Linked DNA regions of Arabidopsis thaliana. The protein of the gene in region 2 interacts with the protein of the main gene of each other region in a pairwise test. Each region holds a gene or a part of one and is shown on either strand. Other genes may lie near its edges.

Region 1 (4,716 bases), on a different chromosome or scaffold from region 2:
AAGGGTTTGCTTTATACAGGAGCGGGACTTTAAAAAAGGAAACATATGAAAGAGACGTTGAAAACTTCAATTCCCAAAATACCCCCATATTATACAGAACAGAACCATAAGAGAAACATTGGTTTGCTTTGATTTCTCAAGGAAGAAGGGATGATCCAGGGGCTACCGTTGCTACAAGATTAAGGACACTATAAAGACTTGACTTAGAGCCATTCTTTTACATTCTGTTGAGAGTCTGGTTACAAAGCACATGTCCCACATGACATCAATCATAGGAAGATTATCATGACTCGATTGTTCCTTATAAACTGGAAAGACAAACACCAAAAGGAACTAGTTCTGCATCTACAAGAAGTTGTTCCATATCTGCCAATCCAGCTACAAATATCTCATAGGAAGGGAGTGACAGAGTAACCTGAGCTGATGAACCGGAATGTGATCAAAACTGATATTTGGTGATAAAATTCATAGACAATTCATCTCGAGGATATTGAAAGCATTATAGCAGAGCACCAATATAGAGATAAATGCACTTAGTTTCAAATTTAGGTCAATTTTTAGTCCGTTTCGAGATCATTATGGACGAAGACTCTTGTACTTGTGATCATTACGCTTGGTCCAACACTCTTAGAGCCAACTTGCAATCACAAATTTAACCTTGGTGACTTCAAAACTTTTCTAGTCTCATTATAAGCTACTAATTAGCTACAAAGAGTATTGAACATAGTAGATACATAGATCGAAACAAGATTTAAACTAAACTAAATTTATTTTTCTTAACACATAATTTACAAACTATTCACACTCTTTCTCTTCGCTTATGTTCTGTTTTTTTCTTATATGCTTTTATGACCAAAACTCCCACCAGTTAGGGTAATTGCTGCTAGATTGGTCTAAGAGAGAATCAGAATTGAAACCTCCCCAATTCTCAGAAGATGTCAAGCAACTATCATCAGCTTTCTCCACAATGTTCATCAGCTCATGATCAGTCTCTTCCTCGAACCCAAAATACTCTGTTTTAATGTTGTTGTTGTAATCACCATCATTACATAGAACACTCCCTTGGTCTAACCTCCCTTCTGGCTCACTCTTTCCATTATGCGACTCTGTGCTGCTGCTTAGAGCCAGTCCTTGATCACCACAACACTCATGATGCTTTTCTTCTTTAGGCCTTTGCATCTCTTCGTTTAGTCTCTGCAGCTGCAAATAGAGATTGATTAATATCAAATTAGGCAAAATGATCGAGAATTTACATCCCCCAAAAACCAATAAATGCCAAGACTGTATTTGCTATTTTATACTTTATAAAAAAAAAAGATCATTATCAATTATTGTTTCTATCACTGTTCAATTAAAGATAAAGATATCGATAGAATCATTATGTACCTCAGAGACCAGAGATTGCTTTTCTTTCTTCATGATTTCAAATTGTGAAGCCAAATTGTTGTAATTGGCTCTAAGAGTGTTATACTCTTTCTCAAGTTGCTTAGTTTTCCATCGAGCCCTCTTGTTTTGAAACCATATAGCCACTTGTCTTGGTTGCAGCCCTAGCTCTCTAGCTACCTGAACCTTCTTCCTCGGCTCAAGCCTCGTCTCAGACTCAAATATAAGCTCAAGTGACTTGATCTGTTCCTCGCTAAACCTCTTTTGGTTATTGCTCTTCTTCATCTTCTTCTTATTCATGGTCATGCCACTACTAATCTCGCTGAAACAGCAGTTGAAAAAATCTCCTTCTTCCATGGTTTTCACCAGATCTTGTAAGTTTCTTGATTTTGATTAAGAGAGAAGGTTTTGGAATTATTTGTTTCTTTTTTTTCTTTCTTTCTGGAATCTCTGAGTTGCTGATATTGGCCGCTTATATATAATGTGGGAGTTACTATGTGTGCTTGTGTAGGGCCTCGGATTTCTATTATTTTTTATATTTGGAAATTTCATTATTCAACCAAGACAAAATAAACTCATTGAATAAAAAGACCTGCAAATATTGTGGAACCACGGGCTAAAAATATACGTCCAAAATTTGTGGCTCGACACGAATTGGCTCATGTCTCTTTCAGTTTAAGTCGTATTTCATTTAGATGTGAACTAATCATCTAACTACTGATAATATTTTCATACTTTTTTTCCTTTATAATATAAGTATTATCAGCTTTTATATGTTTCATGGAAGTGATCAAGTGAATGATAACGTGGGTTGACAATCAAACGGGCGAACTGGCTTTGGTTACATCAATTAATCACCATACATATTTTACTTTTTAACAGTTTGGCCGTTCCTAAGAAAAATGAAGCAGTTTATAATGAAACAAAAAAAAAAACTCGATTATTTTGCTTTTCTTGCATATAAAAGGCATTTTTGAAAATAGAATTTAGCAGCAGCCTAGATGATCGTTGTACTATGTTTTAACATGCAACAACGTATATCATCATTTAACATGTGACTGCCAAGGCCTTGCGATACTTTTATTAGTCAAGATAATATTGATAGATAATCATTACGAAAGAGAGAGAAAGACGGATCGTATTAAGCAATAATTTTATTCGATTGTGTAACGAGATTCCACGTTCACATATCAGGATGTTTGACGGGTGTTAATTAGTGTGTTATAATTAAGATTAAAATAATCTCCATTTTCATTTGAGATTTCATTTGTCGTTACTCGCACGCCATACTTTAGAGGTCGGTTACGTGAAACACGTTTTAACGAGACTTTTCATTAGTGTATTATATACTATGTTCTAAAATAAACCTACTCTTGATTTATCTCGCTAAATTCCAAAAGAAGATTAATCATGGTTAAAATTGTGGCCGCATGTGGTAAGCTGGCAAATAATTTTGCAACTCTTCAATTCATTGCCCAAGAAAAATAAAAAATAAAAAATAAATTAAGATATATTTGCATATCACATACCGTACTATAGTTTACGCGATGTTTTACGCGTTTAATTTCGTTACACGGAAACAATAAGATGATCACGAGTAAGGATTATAGATTTATTGACTTCCATGCAAATGTTTAAAGTTTTAAACTCAATTATGAGATTTCTTGACTTTCTTGTAACTAAACAAGTAATCTGACCTAATTACTATCCTCTTGGTTTCCTTTTCAACATGCCGTTTTAGTTTTCTTCTAAAAAGTATACACAATCCAGAAAAGAAATATAAACCAGTGGTGTTCCTATTATTTATTTGACCTTTTTCCATTTTTCTAAAACCAATAGTACTAAATATAATATGAAATCTAAAAAGATTATTATACCTCTATTAATAAGCTAACTATTATGGATAGAAGTATCTTGTCTAAAATATATGCATTAAACATACAAAATAACAGTTTACATAAACAGAAATAAATTAAAATTCTACAACAATTACTTATTAGAAAACGAAGTCAGTGTAGTATGTTTTTTTTTAGACACGAAGTTAATATGTTTATTCTTACAAAATTACACAAGTTCCGTTCCGTCTTAGGCTCTGAAACACTAATTATCTTAACCATGGGATTTTGAAAGTTTGTAATTTTAAGCAACAATATTAATGATAAACGCAACTTATATAATTAATGTTCTAATGATTAGTTTAAGGTTACGTTCACCTTGCTTCTCGGAAATCTCTTTTGACTTATTAAATACAAACAACAAATTAAATTCGGCCATTTGTGAACTATGGCGGCTTCATCGATCCAACGTCACTTTAGCCTTAAGCCATTAAAATTAAAAAAATTATAAATAATCTATTACTTTGCTTTAAAACCAGAAAATTACTTCATGAAAAAAAATATTTGAATAGAATGACTTACATCGACTTATTTCAACAAGGAAATGGACGAAAGTTTTGGTATACAATGTAATGAATCAGATCTGTAGACATTTCAGACAAGTAGCAATCAAAGTTGTCAAGATCAACCACTGACTCATTGCCATTTGGCACCATTAAGAAAGCCAAGTTGATGAGAAGATGACGTGGTGATTGCTTTGTGGCTGTGTATGAAAATTGCGTCCGACAAATGTTATCACGTGTCGAGGTTAGCTTAAATGTAGCAGTTCTTGATAAGATGCGTAAGAGAAGATGATTCTTTACTTCTATTTTTTCTTTCATTTGTCTAAGAGAAATCTGGTTCTGTTTAATGATAAAGATTAAACTAGTAATATGGTTTTGAGAAATAAAACTTAAGAAATCAAATTTCGTCCTCTTTAATTAGATTTACATCTTGGCTATGATTTCTAATACTTACTAAACGTAGTTTTGGCTCATTTAATTTGGATAAATTTAACAGAACATATACATAAGACTATAGAGCCTTTTAAAGTCATATTTGTTTAATTATTATTTTTAAGGCGCCTTGTCATTTCATGTTTGTATTTTGCATATTCTTCCAACCTCTTGGCCTTGCCGCGTGTAAAGCTTTTGAAATATTCACAGATTTATAAATATGCACATTCTTCGTAAAGCTTAAATTTCAGTTAATGTATATGAAAATACATACAGGTAATGTTTAGGCTGTTAATTATGATGATCTACTGGCTAAAATAGCACAAACTGTCATTCGAAAATGATACTAAAACCTCGATTTTGTGAAAATAAATAAGTGATCATTAAGCTTACCATAAATACCATGTATAAATAAATACATCTGAAAAACGATGAAATGAAAAGAAATTTTTTTGATGAAATGAATATGATCCAACTTATTCAAGACAAGTAGGGTCCATGAT
Region 2 (4,716 bases):
ACCAAACTAAACAATTAATTCCCCCTCATGCAAGATATTGATCCTCTTCAAGTTTTTCTTCTTTGGTACGGTGACCTTCCTCAATGACAATGAGTCAATAACAAAAAGAAAAACTTTGCGTTTCATTTACTAATTTATTTTCCAATTTTAGTTTAATAGATATATCATGCCAAAACGTTGGGAATGTATATTTTTCATACGTGCGTAATTTTTATTCTTCCGGTTAAGTATTCCCAAACTTTAACAACAAATTCCGTTTTCATGTTTTACACAAAACTATTGTAAAGTTGATTAACCACATTAGCTATATGACTAAATTATTATTTTTGGTTCAGTTGACTAAGAAAATAGAAACTGTCTAACCTATGATGGGACCAGACAACAGTATCTCATAGCATTATTGAAGTTTGGTTAGTTTTCATTAAATGAAAAGAATATATATGCAGGTTATCTTCTAGTCCCAAAGTGACAATGACTTGTCTTGTTTGGAATTGGACTGATTAAAGATAAATACAAAAATATTTACTATATGAGGATACATAATGTGTAAGTTTATAACAACTGCCAATATAACTATCAAAATATCATACAAAAGCATGATCGCAAATTAAAAATGGTACGTAACATGTAAGAAAACGAATTAGCCACCAGTTGATAGTAGTCTCATTTGACATCTATTGTTCTATTAGAAGTTAAAAAAAAAAAAAAAAAACTATATGAAAGGTAAACCATTCCCAATATAACGTAATAAACATAACCATCGAGTATCAACCAAAATCATGACCACAATATGTCAAGATGAAAGTCTATTAGTTATTTGTATGTTAGCTTAAGTGAAAAAAGTGGATGTGGGTGAGTGAGCGGTTACAATCGATGATGAATGAGTAACCGTACGAATTGATATTGTCAACTATCAAACGTTAAATTTTCAACTCAATAATTAATCAACATTTGATATTCGTGAAGTAACTTTTCACAAAAAGTACTCTTTGATAAGATGATTTATGTCCATAAAACTAATTGCTTCAACTACATTATTGTCAATATTTGATATCAATCAATTCTCTATGCTTCCATGTGCAAGTCTTATCGATGTGATTGAAATTTAACTTATGGTGTAATCTTTTTGTAACAATCGTTTCTATTTCATATTTTAAATGTGAAATTTATCAAATAGGAATCATACTAGAAGGTCTCATATATATTGAACCGAATAAATAATATTTAATCATTTTTATGATATATATCAATCGCTTAAATCCGCAACTAACAACTTTATTTACAGGTAGATGTCTATCATTTACACAAATTTTTGTCTTGTTTGCGGTTCGATCTCCTGCCTAGCAAGGATTCCGATGAGATAAGAAGGCAATCTTTATCGCATAACGTTTATGGTAATTTAATATGTCATCACAACATTATCTACGATCTGAAATCGACATAGTATCTCTGAACCTCTGTAAATACCACGTATTAATTTTTTTTTAATATTAACCTTCGTAGAAATCACGTTGATCGTTTATATAAAAATATAAATGAACAAAAATTTCTTGACAAAGATATAATTTTAATAAAATGTTTGTACATATATATAAGTCTGTATAGGAAACAACATATGAAGACATGAAGATAATAATGTAGAGGTAGTTATAATTTTTTGTGTCTTAAGTCTTCACCAACTCATGGTGAAAGGTTCACAATATAAGTTGATCGATCGGAGTTCGAGTTATTCTACTAAATATGGCTTCAATAAAAATTTGGTTACTCTAAATAGTTTCAATGGGAAAAATATGTAACAATAATTTTCACAAACCTCAAGATTGATTTTCTAATTATTAAAATAAAGTACACCATCAAAAACAAAACAGGGACAAGATCCACGTCTTGCAATAAAACGTGCCTTGTCAAAGATGTTCTCTTTGACTCTTTAGTGTAGCCATCTCTTTCTCTATATATAAAAATCAACCATGGTGTGTGTCAGTGTGTGCACATATTTTTATAAGATATCTTCACATACACAAAAACATTTATTGTACAGTGCACAAGTGATCGAATATTTGATTCTTTTTCATAATCAGAGATCTGATCTAAATGGAGTATGACCGTACGTTGAACTTGATTCCATACGGACTACAAGGAGTAAGAGAGGAGGAAGAAATCGAAGAAGACGATGAAGAGAGCATGACGTTGTCGTCAGTACCAGAAAACGAAACGTCGGAGTGTTCTTCGCCTCCGGCGACGTATCCTCCAATCCCTCCTCGGCCTAAAACACCGAGAGAGCCGATGGAGTTTCTATGCAGATCATGGAGTCTTTCTACTTCTGAGATCTCTTTAGCTTTATCATCTCAGAAATCTGATAAACAACTCAACAAAAACCCTAATATTTCTCAGTTGGCCGATGTCACTTCTCTGGCTCCGGTAGCACCACCACCGCCGCTACAAGTAAGCCGTCTCTTGCTTTCATCTTCTCTTTATTGTATATTAAGTTCGTATGGTTGATATGATCGTACGTTACCATCAAATAAAGGAAATTAATTTTGATAGTACTATTAGAAACTCACTAAAGATCTTGGATGCATGCAAATGAAGTCTTTTTTTTTTTTGGGATCAAAATATTATACACTTGTAATTGATTTTAATAGTTGAATTTTCACGTTTATAAATTTGCATACAATAAGTTGTCGTTTTCAGTAGTTGCCACAAAGATACAATAAGTGAAACAGTTAGACGTTATTTTCCAATAATGTTGTAAATACTTTTTTTTTTTTAGTGTAAAGTAATTTTCATTATATTCTCATGTGTAACGAAATTATTACTTTATGCTAACAATTTGTTAGGTGTTTTAAGTTTATGGGCCAAGAATATATTTATAGAACCAAAATAATAATATTAAGACCCAATCTGTAAAAAGCCCAAAATGTTTAAATTGTTTCTTTCTTCAACAGACGGGAAAGCTAGCGAGTGCGGTTCACGCGCGGAGAACGGGAACGATCGGAAAATGGTTCCACCACCGAGAATTCGTCGGCGGGAAGGTCTCCGCCGTAAAGAAGAGAGATAGAGTTCGCGTGGAGAAAGCTCATCTGCATTCCGCCGTGTCCATTGCGTCTCTGGCGACGGCAATCGCCGCAGTGACCGCTTCAGGCAATCAAGACGGCTTCGCTGGATCAAAGATGAGCTCAGCCCTTGCCTCGGCGTCGGAGTTGTTAGCTTCTCACTGCCTCGAATTGGCGGAGCTTGCCGGCGCCGATCACGATCGCGTCGTCTCTGCTGTCCGATCAGCTGTTGATGTTCGTGGACCTGGCGATTTGTTGACTCTAACTGCTGCAGCTGCAACAGGTACATTGATTGTTTGACTTCAATTCTCAATCCTTGATTGTTTCGCTCTATTGAATTTGACTAGTCCATTGTAGTTTTGAGTTGATCATTCGATTATGATTCTCGGTTTTTCGATAATGTAGCATTGAGAGGAGAAGCAGCTTTGAGGGTAAGACTACCAAAGGAAGCTAAGAACAGTGCAGCTATAAGCCCCTGTGAGAGAGTTTTACCAGAGACTCATAGTTGCTCTTCTGAGCTCGATCGCACTAGCACGACCGATGAACTCATATCTGCAAAAGGAGTTGAAGAATCAACTGGAGAGCTAATGCAGTGCACACGAAACGGTAATGTTTCAGTAAGAGCTTCTTTACTAATTGTTGTGAATGATGATGATATTATAATTCAAGAATCAATTGGAAACAAAAAAATTTCACTTACCACGAGATTGATGAATTGACTCATGGACTTTCCAGGTGTTCTGCGGTGGAAGCATGTAAAAGTGTACATCAACAAAAAATCTCAGGTTAAACATCGAATACTCATTGAAGCTAACAAAGTTATATGCTGGTTGAATTCTAGAGTTGAATTTTGCTCGGTTTCTCTTTTGCAGGTCATAGTAGAAATCAAAAGCAAACACGTTGTAGGAGCATTCTCCATGAAAAGCAAAGGTTAGTGAGCTACTCTTCTTTCTTTCAATGTCTATGGTGTTCATTTGTATAAGCAGAGTGATCTTGGGACTTTGTCCAATGCTTTACAATAATCCAGTGGTTGAATCACTACAGGCATTGTAAATGATGTATGCGAGACAGTCTCAGGCCTGCAAAATGGAAAAGACACGGAAAACACAGAAGAAGAGCTCTATTTCGGAATCGGTACAGGGAAAGGTCTGACAAAGTTCAAGTGCAAGAGCAAGGCTGATAAGCAGACATGGGTGGATAGCATCCGGAATCTTCTCCATCGAGTAACTGCTGTTGAGGTCGACACTTCTCTTGAAACTATAAACATTAACGATAGCACATAAATCATGATGTCTTGTGTTAACGGTGTTAGTGTTGGTTATTTTCATTACAAGCCAATGATATGTATTGTTTCAAGAACATATACATATCTGCAAGTAGGTGTAGTGTTTTTCATCTTCGTCACTTGTTTTTATTTCAGTCAAATTGTAAACATTGTTTTGTGGAAATAATGAAGAAGATTATAATAAGGCTTGATGAATCTCACCGGAGAAATGTCCATGTGTTTCTCCATGGCTTCTTCCCCGATGACAATCACGGTGAGTTTCTCTGTCACTTCTGCATACTTGATTTTCTTCTGTCTTTCTAATCAGTTGTCTATAGTCTCCAGTAAAGACTCGAAAAAACCCAGAATCATGCGTTTATAAGATAAAAATAAACAATA

The links. The genes of interacting proteins can lie anywhere in the genome.
Region 1: the proteins of AT4G16670 (region 2) and HB-12 interact in a two-hybrid assay, tested with the Arabidopsis thaliana proteins (one large-scale study listed by BioGRID).

What each region holds. Positions count from the first base shown.
Region 1 is NC_003074.8:22,913,500-22,918,215, forward strand, and holds HB-12 (homeobox 12), read right to left. Parts: upstream 1,895-4,716; 5' UTR 1,741-1,894; coding exon 1,387-1,740; intron 1,201-1,386; coding exon 847-1,200; 3' UTR 655-846; downstream 1-654. UniProt on the Arabidopsis thaliana protein: Probable transcription activator that may act as growth regulators in response to water deficit.
Region 2 is NC_003075.7:9,383,235-9,387,950, forward strand, and holds AT4G16670 (auxin canalization protein (DUF828)), read left to right. Parts: upstream 1-1,945; 5' UTR 1,946-2,091; coding exon 2,092-2,442; intron 2,443-2,945; coding exon 2,946-3,336; exon of another isoform or gene 3,337-3,458; coding exon 3,459-3,659; intron 3,660-3,753; exon of another isoform or gene 3,754-3,788; coding exon 3,789-3,838; coding exon of another isoform or gene 3,839-3,925; coding exon 3,926-3,983; coding exon of another isoform or gene 3,984-3,988; exon of another isoform or gene 3,989-4,037; intron 4,038-4,097; coding exon 4,098-4,336; 3' UTR 4,337-4,520; downstream 4,521-4,716.